3 linked regions of the Canis lupus familiaris genome follow. The protein of the gene in region 1 purifies or fractionates together with the protein of each later gene. This does not show direct contact. Links are inferred from orthologs where the notes say so. Each region holds a gene or a part of one and is shown in the gene's direction. Other genes may lie near its edges. The genes, in order: MTA1, BCL11A and HIC1.

Evidence for each region.
Region 2: the proteins of MTA1 (region 1) and BCL11A purify together in Homo sapiens (affinity purification with mass spectrometry; 4 studies listed by BioGRID and IntAct, counting the BioPlex papers as one, with this or other methods). This does not show direct contact. The link is inferred for Canis lupus familiaris from reciprocal best matches to the Homo sapiens genes MTA1 and BCL11A.
Region 3: the proteins of MTA1 (region 1) and HIC1 purify together in Homo sapiens (affinity purification with western blotting; 3 studies listed by BioGRID). This does not show direct contact. The link is inferred for Canis lupus familiaris from reciprocal best matches to the Homo sapiens genes MTA1 and HIC1.

Annotation. Positions count from the first base shown.
Region 1 is NC_049229.1:73,159,321-73,163,504, forward strand, and holds the start of MTA1 (metastasis-associated protein MTA1), read left to right. Parts: upstream 1-1,925; 5' UTR 1,926-2,068; coding exon 2,069-2,480; intron 2,481-2,941; coding exon 2,942-3,009; intron 3,010-4,184. UniProt on the Homo sapiens protein: Transcriptional coregulator which can act as both a transcriptional corepressor and coactivator. Acts as a component of the histone deacetylase NuRD complex which participates in the remodeling of chromatin.
Region 2 is NC_049231.1:61,971,583-61,975,766, reverse strand, and holds the start of BCL11A (B-cell lymphoma/leukemia 11A), read left to right. Parts: upstream 1-1,263; 5' UTR 1,264-1,424; coding exon 1,425-1,479; intron 1,480-4,184. UniProt on the Homo sapiens protein: Transcription factor. Associated with the BAF SWI/SNF chromatin remodeling complex. Binds to the 5'-TGACCA-3' sequence motif in regulatory regions of target genes, including a distal promoter of the HBG1 hemoglobin subunit gamma-1 gene.
Region 3 is NC_049230.1:46,105,551-46,109,678, forward strand, and holds the start of HIC1 (hypermethylated in cancer 1 protein), read left to right. Parts: upstream 1-983; 5' UTR 984-1,194; coding exon 1,195-1,231; intron 1,232-1,574; coding exon 1,575-3,736; 3' UTR 3,737-4,128. UniProt on the Homo sapiens protein: Transcriptional repressor. Recognizes and binds to the consensus sequence '5-[CG]NG[CG]GGGCA[CA]CC-3'. May act as a tumor suppressor. Involved in development of head, face, limbs and ventral body wall.

The DNA of each region.
Region 1 (4,184 bases):
CTCGGGTCCCAGCGGCTTCCCTCGCGTCTGTGGGGTTCCCGCGTGGTCTCCGCGTCCGCTCTCAGGGTGAACGGCGTGGGCTGGCGTCAGGTCCCCCTTGGGTGTTGGCTGGGTTCAGCAGGGCCCGTCTGGGTCTGGAGGGCTGCCTTTCTTTCCTTTGTTGATTTTTATTTTCTTGCTTGCAGTTGAAAGGGTTTACTTTTCTTTTTCTTTCTTTCTTTTTTTTTTTTTTTTTTTGAATTTTATTTACTTTAAAGAGAGAGAGAGGGATCCCTGGGTGGCGCAGCGGTTTGGCGCCTGCCTTTGGCCCAGGGCGCGATCCTGGAGACCCGGGATCGAGTCCCACGTCGGGCTCCCGGTGCATGGAGCCTGCTTCTCCCTCTGCCTGTGTCTCTGCCTCTCTCTCTCTCTGTGACTATCATAAATAAATAAAAAAAAAATTAAAAAGAAATAAAAATAAAGAGAGAGAGAACACAGGGAGAGGGAAAGGGAGAGAGAAGCAGAAGCAGGCTCCAGGCTGAGCGTGGACCCCGACGTGGGGCTTGACCCCGGGGCCCCAGGATCGTGACCTGAGCCAAAGGCAGACTCTCAGCCCACCACGGTGCCCCTGAGCCTGATTTTTTTTTTTTTTAAGATTTTATTTAATTTATTCATGAGAGACACAGAGAGAGGCAGAGACCCAGGCAGAGGGAGAAGCAGGCTCCACGCAGGGAGCCCGACGTGGGACTCGATTCCAGGTCCCCGGGATCACGCCCTGGGCTGAAGGTGGAGCTAAGCCGCTGAGCCCCCCGGGCTGCCCGAGCCTGATTTCTTTAGGGCACAGGGTTGCCTGTTTGTCTGCAGGGAGCTCGGGGGTCTGCGTCTGCCCAGCGCGGGCCCCGTGTCACCTGAGCCGTCAGGCAGCGGCGCCGGGAGCCCCCTCCTACCCAGCTCTCGCTCACTCACCCTCCGGGTCTTTCCTTTGTCACCCTGGCCTGAGGTTGATCCCCTTACTGGCTGTTTACACGAGTTCATTTTTCCTCATTATGCTGGTTTTTGCTCATCATCTACCATCTTTTTGCTTTGCGTGTTTTCCCATCTACCAAAGCTTAACCCACCCGTCTCAGGCGTGCAGGTCTGAATTGTGGGGAGCACATGCAGGGGTGCAACTGGCGGCTGGGACGCAGCCCCGTGCCCCCCAGCCCCCTGCCTGAGCAGGGATCCTCAGAGCCGCATGCAGGGCCGGTGGGGCTCCTCCTGGGTCGTGTCCAGTGTAGACTGCATGTGAATAACAGCTTTGGTTTATTTACTTATTTTTTTTTAAAATAGATTTTTTACTTATTTATTCATGAGAGACACAGAGAGGGACAGACACAGAGGGAGAAGCAGGCTCCACGCAGGGAGCCCGATGCAGGACTCGATCCCGGGGCTCCAGGACCACGCCCGGGGCCAAAGGCAGCGCTAAACCGCTGAGCCACCCAGGGATCCCCGACAGCTTTGATTTAATTGGTTTTTTGGTTTCTTTGGATGAAAGCTTTAAGACCAATAGGGCTTTATATTAAAACTGCTCTTTTGAGCGACAATTCACGTGTGATAAAATTCACCCGCTCACGAGGCGTACGGTGTGGCCGCGGTCTGTGTTCAGAGTGTTTCCACTGCCGTCAAGCCGACCTCGAGCCCGTCGATGGCCCCCTCCCGTAGAGCTCTCTTCCCCCCCAGCCCGCGAGCGTGGCCCTCTGAGCCCGGCAGCCCTGTTCCCTCTGGGCTGTTAGTGCTGTTGCTCTTTCGTTCCGTGGAGCTCTGTGGGTGCCCATGGCCGCGTCCCATCCGGCTGTGGCCTCGGGCAGCACAGGTGAGCCCCCCCCAGCAGCACAGGTGCGCTCCCTCCTACAGTATAGGTGAGGACCCCCCAGCATAGTGAGCCTCTCCTGCAGCACGGGTGAGCCTCCCGCAGCAGCATAGGTGAGCGCCCCCATCTCCCTGCAGCATAGGTGAGCTCTCCTCTGCAGCACAGGTGAGCGCCCCCCCCCAAGCACAGGTGAGCCCCCTCAGGTGCCTGCAGCAGGTACACAGCAGCAGCAGGTGCCAGATGCTTGCTGGGGCCTCTCCACACGGTGGAGCGGTAGGACCTCTTGAGAGGACGGAGCTGGCCTGGGTCCTGGGGCAAGATCTGTGCTCCGAGTGGCCCTTTGGCTGTGTCCCGGCTGACACGGGCCTCTTGCAGGCCTTCCCTGGGGCACGGGGGACAGCGCGGGGCACCCCTGCTGGGGACTGCAGCCTGGCCTCGTCCTGGCACCGAGTCACCCGCAGCTGCCCCGAGCTACCTGCTATATCACGGCGGCGGCCAGGCTGGCAGCTGGGTGGCCTCCCGGCTGGCCTGGGCTCCGTGGGAGCCGGCCAGCCGCCCCCGTGGGCCTCTTGGGAAATCCCGGGTGCCTGCCAGCCTCCTGGGGACCGATCCCAGGCTGCTCTGGAGCCGGAGGCGAGCTGGTGCCCACATGGTGTGCTGGGGACCTGGCGGGCGGTGGCGGGACCTCGTTCCTCTGGCACCTGACCCCGTCCGCACCCCCGAGAGCCCTGCCTCTGCCCAGGGAGCCCCGGCCTCCTCCGTTCCCTGCCCGGGGCGCGTGGGGTGGGGGGGCAGGTGCAGGCGCCCGGCAGCCCCTCGGAAGCTGTCCTGGGGGAAGCTGCAGTCCGGCTCCCACAGCGTCTGCGCGGGGCAGGGGGCGGGGCGTGTGGACCCTCTGCCCGGGACAGCCCCCTCCGTCCTCTAGGACCCGTGCCCGGCACCCACCAACATGTCTGGGTACCTGTCTGTGCACTAAGGTGGCAGGGGCACCGTGTCCTTCGTTCCCTCCTGTTCCCTGGCCCCTAGAACTGGGCGCGGGTGTGAGGGGGGTCGGGGCTCCCCTGGTCCCCGGGCTCAGTGCTGCGGGGTGACGCACTCTGTTCCTGTTTGCAGACTACGTCTATTTTGAGAACTCCTCCAGCAACCCGTACCTGATTCGCAGGATCGAGGAGCTCAACAAGGTACGTGCATGGGGGGGGGCGCGTGGTGGGGGGGGGCCGCCCGGGGCTTCAGGGCCGGCCCCAGACCCTTCGGTGGCTTTGTTCCCGTGCCACACGCCTACACCTGGGTCCTTCTCCTTGGAGAGCTCTCCGTGGGGTCCCTGTGGCGGGTGTGCTCTGTGGGACAGGGGCGCCCTGTGGGGTCCCCCTGGCCGGGGTCTCCCCGCCCACCTGCTGCCTCTGCCTCTTCCCGGCTCACTCAGGCCCCTGCCGCCCCGCTCTGGGCCCTCGCAGCCGCCCCCCCTCCCGCCAGCCTCCCGCTCTGAGGCGCCCCCGGCAGCACTGGGGAGAGGCAGGAGTGTCCCTGCGGCCGTGGAGTCCCTGGCCCCGGAGCACCTGTTGTCCCCGACTGGCTGTGCTCCGTGAGGCCAGTCCTCAAGGGCTGCTCTCCTGGACCCCGAGCACGGCAGCGTGGCTGGGCATCCTTGGGACCGGCGGGCTGGGGGCGGAGGTCGGGGTGCTGGTGCTCCACGGAGCAGACTGGTGGCAGCCGAGCCCCGACCCCTGTGCCCCCGTTCCCGAGACTCCTGCGCAGCATCTGCCCGGGGGAGGGGGTGCCCCCAGGCCTCCGCTGCACACAGCGTGTGGGGCTGGTCCTTGCAGCCTGGCAGCTCCTGGGAGGCTGGGCCAGGTCTGGACGCGGCAGGGCGAGGGCAGTGACCAGGACGCTGTGGGGCCACCTCCCGCGGGTGCTTGCTGGGGGAAGCTGCCCACGGCCCGCCCGGGCAGCAGGGCCAGCAGGGCACGGGGTGGGCATCGGCTCGGGAACACATGGGGTCGGGCCCGCGACTCCAGTGAGCGGTGGGGAGCGTGGCGGGGGAGCCGGGGGCCCACTGCTGGGCTGGCCGCGGGCAGTGGGTCTCGGGTGGGGCCAGCACAGCCCCTGCCCCTCGCTTTGGCTGTGACGTGGAGAGGGCAGGTGGCACCACCTGTGGCAGCCTGCAGGTGACGGGTCTGCACGGCAGTGGCCACAGCCCGCCATTGGAGCGCTCGGGGTGGGGTCGATGGGCGTCTGCGTGTGAGCCTGCAGCCCCCTTCAGTACTGGGGTGGGGCGGGAGGGACCCTCTGGCCCCCGCAGCCCGCCTCCCCTGCTGCCCGGGGACCCGGGGCAGTCCCGGCTGGGGCCGCTGGGAGC
Region 2 (4,184 bases), on another chromosome or scaffold:
CCCCGGCGCTCCCCTCCGGGGGCTGCAACGGGCCCCGCGGCGGGCTCCTCGGTCTTTATTCCTTGGCCTCCCTCGCCGCGACCCTTGGGAGCCTCGGGTGCGTGCTTCCAGTTCCATTCGGACCCAATCGCTTGTCAGGGCGCCCAGATCCCAGCTGCCCGGCGCCCCCCCGCCGCCCCCCGGCCTCCCCCCTCCGCCGCCGGGCCCGGCCTTGGGGGTGCCCTCCCGCCCTGGCCTGCGCCGTCTCCCTCGCCCTTGCACCCAGCCTGGCCGGGCACCCGGAGGCCCCGGGGCTGCCTTTCCGGACCCGCAACCCTCTAAACTTGGGCTGCACTGGGTTTTGCCGCGCGCGTCCTCCCGCCTCCCCGCGCCCGCTGCGGAGCTGCAACTTGGAGGCTCAGCTCTCAACTTCGGGTGATTTTTCTTTGCCAGCCTCTCCGCAGGCAAAGTTTCCCGAGCGCAGCCCCGGGCTCGGGGCTCCCACCGCGGCCCCGGGCGTCCGCACGCGGGGAGCGAGCGCGGCGGGGAGGGGAGGTGGGTGTGCGCCCGGAGGAGGGTGTCCGGGAGTAACTCTACCTGCCTTCCCTCCGCCCGCGCTCCCCGGGACCCGGGCTGCAGCCTCGCCGTACACTCTTGCCTTTTTTTTTTTTTTTTTTTTTTTTTAAGTAATCTTTCATTTTAGGATCCGTGTCCGGGTTGGGGGGGGGTGAGCAGAGAGCACGTCTTGCCCCCCCCCCCACCCCCGCCGCCCCTTTCTTCTCTCCCGGCCACGCTGCCGCCACGGCGCTGGCTGCGGCCACTGGTGAGCCCGCGGCCCCGGCGCCCCCTCCCCTCCCCCCCCCGCCCCTCCCCCGGGGGCCGCGTCTGGCGTCTGCGGAGCCCCCCGCCCCGCACCTCCCCCGCCCCGCACTGGCCATTGGCTTGTCCTGGTCTCTTTTTCATGTCCAGCCCCTGATGTGTGTCCATTGGTGTGAGCTTCCCCTTCCCTCCTCCCCTTCTCTCCTGCTCGCCCTGCCCATGTTTTGTGTGTCTCTGTCCATCCAGACTCCTGACGTTCAAGTTCGCAGGGACGTCACGTCCGCACTTGAACTTGCAGCTCAGGGGGGCTTTTGCCATTTTTTTCATCTCTCTCTCTCTCTCTCTCTCTCTCTCTCCCTCTATCTCTCTCCTCTCTCTCTCTCTCTCTCTCTTTTTTTTTTTTTTTTGCTTAAAAAAAAAAAAAAAGCCATGACGGCTCTCCCACAATTCATCTTCCCTGCGCCATCTTTGTATTATTTCTAATTTATTTTGGATGTCAAAAGGCACTGATGAAGATATTTTCTCTGGAGTCTCCTTCTTTCTAACCCGGCTCTCCCGATGTGAACCGAGCCGTCGTCCGCCCGCCGCCGCCGCCGCCGCCGCCGCCGCCCGCCCCGCAGCCCACCATGTCTCGCCGCAAGCAAGGCAAACCCCAGCACTTAAGCAAACGGGAATTCTCGCGTAAGTAACCCAATAATAGTAATAATAATTATTAATAATCACGAGAGCGCGCAGGACGAGAAGTAAGAGCGAGGGGGAGAGAGGGGTGTGTGCATGCATTTTTTAATTTTTTCACGAGACGAACCTCCGAGAGTCGGGATAAAAGAGCTTAAAGGGAGGAAAAAAAAAAAAAAAAACCAAACAAACAAAACCCCAAACAAACAAAAACCAAACCTCATCCTATCCCGAACCGCAGCCGTAGATACACTTTTGGGATAGCACGCACCTTTTAATTTTTATTTAATTTACAAAAATGTGACTCCTCCTCTTTCATGCTCTCCGCCGCTTTATTTCGCTTTTCGAAAAGGAATGCAATGATTTCCCCTCCAATTTTGCAAAATAATGAACAATGCTTTGGATGCGAACAACTCTCGGGCAAACCTAGAGGAGGGAGCTGGAGGGGTGAGGGGGGGGGGGAAAGGGGGTTGCTTCCACTCACCGAAGGAAGGAAAACGGGGCGGGAGGAGGGAGCCCAAGCCAAAAAAACAATTCCCTGGGAGAAAAGAGGTGAGACTGGCCCTCGGACAGCAGCGCGCTCACGGTCAAGTGTGCACCAGGAGGAAAGTAGTCATCTCCACAATAGTGAGAAAGTGGGATTGTGGGAGGGGGCCCCCCGGCGCTCGGGAGCCTGCCGAGTGTGGAGAGGGGCCGCGGCGGCCGGGGGAGCCTGGAGACCGGGAAGCACGGGAGGCTCGGCCGCCGCTGCCGCCTTTTGTTCCGGCCCGAGGTGGGTGTTTGTCCCGCTGCCTTTTGTGCCGGCTCCTCGCGCCTGCCCTTCCGCGCCGCCGCCGCCGCAGGGCAGGAGCAAGGGCCCCGGGCGAGCGGGAGACGGAGGGAGGGCGCTCGGGCCGCCGCCGCCTGGGTCCCCGCCGCCCGCCCCTCCCGGCCGAACCTCCGCGGCGGCGAAGAGATGTGAAAAATAAAATAAAAATAAAAACCAAAAATAAAACGAGGCAAGAGGACGTACAATTTCTTGCCCCCCAACAGAAGCCCCAAACGCTCGGCCGGCCGTTTTCTGCAACGCTCTCCTCTTGGACTCCCCCACCCCACCCCACCCCACCCCCCCCTGCAAAAATCTCCATCTCTATTAGAGGGGGAAAAATACAATTACCCCCTTCCCCAAAACCCCTTTAGTTGCAAACTTAGAGCGCCGGCGGCGTGGAGAGGGAGCGAGGAACTCCCTCCTCTTACTATTTTTTGGAAGATTTTCAAAAAAAGTGGAAGTGGATTTTGATTGGGAAAAATCTCGTGTCTGAATGTTTACAAGCACCGCGTGTGCGGGAGCCTCCTGCCAACAAACAGACAGAGGACCGAGCGCGGCGCGGCAGCCCGGGAGCGGGCGGCGGCGGTGGCCGGGCCTCGCCCGGGCCTCGCCGGGCCTCGCCGCGCCCCCGCCCTGCTCGGGATCGCCCACCCCGCGCCAGCCGTCCGCCCGCCCGCACAGCGGCAGGCCGTGCCGCGACTCCGCGCCAGCCGGGTCCACGGTCCGCGCTCGCCCCCAGCACAATGCCCAGACCTCCTCCCAGCCCACCGCACCGGGAACTCGGCGGGGGAGAAACTCGGCTTTGCGAAGCATTTTTATTTTTCAAAGCAGCTGAAAAAGCGCGTCTGCAGCCCCCTCCCCCGCCCCCCGAGGTTCTTGTCCTCAGCTCCGGACCGCGGGGAGGTCACCACGTGCTTTCTCTGCCCCCCTCCCACCAGGTCTGGCCAACCAGCACCCCCCCCCCCCCGCCTCCCGATCGCTGCCAGGCCAGGTGTGTGTGTGCAGGGAGGTGTGTGTGGGGGGGGCGGTGAGCCGGTTTTGGGGGGGGGGATTTGGGGAGGTGGGCACAGTAGTATGTGCAAGTGTGTGTTTTGGGAGTGCTGGATCCCCGGACTCCGTGCACCCCACTCTGAGTTCCTGCCCTCTAACCGGGGCCTGTCTCGGTCAGAGCTGGGAGGGGGGGCGGCGGTCCTTCTGAGTCTTTATGGGGTTGGTGGACGGGTTACTGCGTCCTGGCTAACAGTGCGTCTGGGAAGGCGGGCGGTGGGCACTTCGGAAAGTTTGGCAGCGGGGCAGAGAAAGGCTTGAGAGGGCCCACATCCCTTCCCCTCCTCATTCGTGCCCCTTGTTTTAATTTTCGATGCAATTTAAAAACACCACCTATACCCAGTTTTTGTATTTATTAAAGGGTTGACGGGGGGGGGGGTGCTGTTGCGCGTAGGGAGTTGGATTTTTCACTAGGCCCTGGAACTTGTCACACACTTCGGAAGCTCCCCCGCCCCGGCACGTTGCGGGGCCCTCCCTCTCCCCACCCCCGCGCATCCCTCCCTCGTCGCTCTCCCCCGCCCCCCACTCCCCCGGCCGCGCCGGATGCGGAGCAGACGCGGCGCGCGGCGGTGTGAAGTTACAGCCCGGCCAGGTACCGGCGGGAAGGAAGGGCAGTGTTCGCAGGACTCGGGAAAGCCGGGCCCTTCTTCGGAAGGATGCACTGGGGGCGCAAAGGACGAGCGCAGGCGTGCAGCCCGGGCTGCTCCCCTGTCCCCCCCCCGCCCCGGGTCCATCTCGGGACCCTCCAAGCTGGGTGGGTTCAGCCCCCTCTAGCCCCGTCTCAGCGCGGCCTTTGGGGTCAGGGACCAGTGCGGAGGGGGGCGCGGGGGCCGCTGCTTTCTCCTTTTCTGGGTGC
Region 3 (4,128 bases), on another chromosome or scaffold:
GACGGACCAGCAGGACAGACCGACCGGGGCCCCGGCGGGCGGAGGGCAGCACAGCCACGTCCCCCCTGGATCCGCCGGCAGCCGGGCCCGGGGCTTCCGACATGCCCCCCAGGTGGGTCCTCAACCTCGGGACCAGAAGGGACAGGGGATCCGGACGGCCCGGTCCTTACGCGCTGGCCGCCTCGGGCGCATCCTTCGGCCTGGGCGCCCCAACGCGGCTGGCGTCCAGGACTCCGGGTGTCGCCCCTAGAGGACTCGGGACCGCCGGGCCGCTGCTCCGCGCCGAGTTCACGGCCGGGGTCAGCGGCCCGGGCCCGACTCTGCCCGCACATGGGCCGGAGAGGCGAAGGGAAGGGAAGGGGAGCTGGCGGGCGGGGCTGGCAGGGGCGCTGCCCTGGCACAGCTCGGCGCCTGGCAGCGGGGCGGGTGGGGCGCCGGCTGGGAGCTGCCACCGCCACGGGCAGGGAAGCCGGGTCGGGTTGCGGCCGCAGGTAACGGGCCGCGAGGCCCTGCGGGCCAGGAGGGGAGCAGGGTGGGCCGGCGAACGAGCGGGCAGGGGAGCGCCGAGCTCCGCTCAGGCCCCAGGGCCGCCTGGCTGCCGAAATTGGGAGCCGAGAGGAAAAGCTGGGAGTCGAGGGACTGGGGCTGGCCCGCTTCTCCCGGCCTGTCTGAAGTTGGGAAACTTTTCCCCAAGTTTGGGGCGGCGGAGTTCCCGTGGAGAAGGGGCCGAAGGGAGCTGGGGAGGGAGGCGCCGGGGCCCGCGAATGCAGAGCTGAGGCCGAGACCGGGGCCAGGACGCGGGTGGGGCGCAGGCCAGGGTCAGGGCCGCAGCCGGCTGTGCGCCGTGCCCGCCCGGGGCGCTGCCCCCTCCCTCCCCTGGGAGCTGCGTGGCTCCCCCCTCCCCCCCACCTGCTTCCTGCCTCAGCCTCCTGCCCCGATATAACGCCCTCCCCGCGCCGGGGCCGGCCTTCGTGTTCTGCCGCCACCGCAGCCTCTGCCTCCGCTCCCCGCGCCGCGGCCGCGCCCGGGCCCCAACTGAAGGCCTGACAGCCCCCGGGCAGGGCGGCGCCACGGCGGGCACCGCGCACCCCTCCACGGGATCACTTCCCCCAGCTGGGGCAACTTCTCCCGAGGCGGGAGGCGCTTTTTACTCGGCTCCCTTGTATCCCAATTGGGCAGACTTCTCAGCCCTGAATGACTTTTCCTGAAGCGGACATTTTCCTCAAATCCGGTAACTGTCTCCGAAGGGGTCACTTCCCCCAAACAGTGTTCTCCTTCGGAAGTCCCCAGACCCCAGCCTGTGTGCCCGGTGCCAGCCGGGCCTGGGCGAGCGGTCCAGCCTGGCCTCCTCTCCACCAGCCACTCGCCTATGCCTTCTGGTGCAGGCCACCGGCCCAGGCTTCCACACCAGGAGGCCGCCGACCCCTCTGCCAGCGCCTAGGCCGCCGCGCGCGATGCCCCAGCCGAGCTGAGGGGAAGGGGAAGTTGGGGGGAGAAGCGCCGGGTTGGATCCTGGCAGCGAGGGCTCGAGGGCTCGGGTGAGGCTCTGACCCGGCTGCGGTGTGTCCCTGCAGGAGAGTGTGCTGGGCAGACGATGCTGGACACGATGGAGGCGCCGGGCCACTCGAGGCAGCTGCTGCTGCAGCTCAACAACCAGCGCACCAAGGGGTTCTTGTGCGACGTGATCATCGTGGTGCAGAACGCCCTCTTCCGCGCGCACAAGAACGTGCTGGCGGCCAGCAGCGCCTACCTCAAGTCCTTGGTGGTGCATGACAACCTGCTCAACCTGGACCATGACATGGTGAGCCCGGCGGTGTTCCGCCTGGTGCTGGACTTCATCTACACCGGCCGCCTGGCTGATGGCGCAGAGGCGGCGGCGGCGGCGGCCGTGGCCCCGGGGGCTGAGCCGAGCCTGGGCGCCGTGCTGGCCGCCGCCAGCTACCTGCAGATCCCCGACCTCGTGGCGCTGTGTAAGAAGCGCCTCAAGCGCCACGGCAAGTACTGCCACCTGCGGGGCGGCGGCGGCGGCGGCGGCGGCTACGCACCCTACGGGAGGCCGGGCCGGGGCCTTCGGGCCGCCACGCCCGTCATCCAGGCTTGCTACTCGTCCCCGGCTGGGCCTCCGCCGCCGCCCTCGGGCGAGCCGTCTTCGGGCCCCGAGGCCGCTGTGAACACCCACTGCGCGGAGCTGTACGCCTCGGGCCCCGGCCCGGCCTCCGCACTCTGCGCCCCGGAGCGCCGCTGCTCCCCGCTCTGCGGCCTGGACCTGTCCAAGAAGAGCCCGCCGGGCTCCGCGCCTCCTGAGCGGCCGCCGGGCGAGCGCGACCTGCCCTCCCGCCCAGACAGCCCTCCCAGTGCCGGCCCCGCTGCCTACAAGGAGCCACAGCTCGCCCTGCCGCCGCTGCCGCCGCTGCCCTTCCAGAAGCTGGAGGAGGCCGTACCGCCGCCGGACCCGTTCCGTGGCGGCGGCGGCAGCCCGGGACCCGAGCCCCCGGGCCGCCCCGACGGGCCCAGCCTCCTCTACCGCTGGATGAAGCACGAGCCAGGCCTGGGCAGTTACGGCGACGAGCTGGGCCGGGAGCGCGGCTCCCCCAGCGAGCGCTGTGAGGAGCGCGGCGGGGACCCAGCCGCCTCGCCCGGGGTACCCCCGCTGGGCCTGGCGCCGCCGCGCTACCAGGGCAGCCTGGACGGGCCAGGCGCGGGCGGCGACGGCGACGACTACAAGAGCAGCAGCGAGGAGACAGGCAGCAGCGAGGACCCCAGCCCTCCAGGCGGCCACCTCGAGGGCTACCCGTGCCCGCACCTGGCTTACGGCGAGCCCGAGAGCTTCGGCGACAACCTGTACGTGTGCATCCCGTGCGGCAAGGGCTTCCCCAGCTCGGAGCAGCTGAATGCACACGTGGAAGCTCACGTGGAGGAGGAGGAGGCGCTGTATGGCAGGGCCGAGGCGGCCGAGGTAGCCGCGGGGGCCGCCGGCTTGGGGCCCCCTTTTGGAGGCAGTGGGGACAAGGTCGCTGGGGCTCCGGGCGGCCTGGGCGAGCTGCTGCGGCCGTACCGCTGCGCGTCGTGCGACAAGAGCTACAAGGACCCGGCCACGCTGCGGCAGCACGAGAAGACGCACTGGTTGACCCGGCCCTATCCGTGCACCATCTGCGGGAAGAAGTTCACGCAGCGCGGAACCATGACGCGCCACATGCGCAGCCACCTGGGTCTCAAGCCCTTCGCGTGCGACGCGTGCGGCATGCGCTTCACGCGCCAGTACCGCCTCACCGAGCACATGCGCATACACTCGGGCGAGAAGCCCTACGAGTGCCAGGTGTGCGGCGGCAAGTTCGCGCAGCAACGCAACCTCATCAGCCACATGAAGATGCACGCCGTGGGTGGCGCGGCAGGCGCAGCTGGGGCTCTGGCGGGGTTGGGGGGGCTACCCGGCGTCCCCGGCCCCGACGGCAAGGGCAAGCTCGACTTCCCCGAGGGCGTCTTTGCTGTGGCCCGACTCACGGCAGAACAGCTGAGCCTGAAGCAGCAGGACAAGGCAGCCGCGGCCGAGCTGCTGGCGCAGACCACGCACTTCCTGCACGACCCCAAGGTGGCGCTCGAGAGCCTCTACCCGCTGGCCAAGTTCACCGCGGAGCTGGGCCTCAGCCCGGACAAGGCGGCCGAGGTGCTGAGCCAGGGAGCGCACCTGGCCGCGGGACCCGACGGCCGGACCATCGACCGTTTTTCCCCCACCTAGAGCGCCTCCTGCCGGCCCGCCTCGTCGCCGCCGCGTGGCCCCGGCCCGCGTCCCCGGGGAACGGCGGTGGCAGCGCGAGCAGGCACCCCGCGCCCGGACAACTGTAGTAGCAGCGGCAGCATCGCCGCAGTGGCGGCGGCCCCACCTGGCCTCACTGCTTTGTGCCTTAGCCCGGGGGTGGGGGTGGGGGTGAAACCCCGGGACGGGGGTGGGATGGGGGAAGGGAGATTTATATTTTTGATATCAGCTTTGACCAAAGGAGACCCCCGCCCTTCTCCGCCTCTTCCTGTGGTTCGTCGGCCCCCTCCCCCGGCTCCGTGCTGCTCTTGGAGGGAGGGGTGTCACTGTTGGGGCGCTCCCGGCCCTACCTCCGGCCCTTGCGACCACACCCA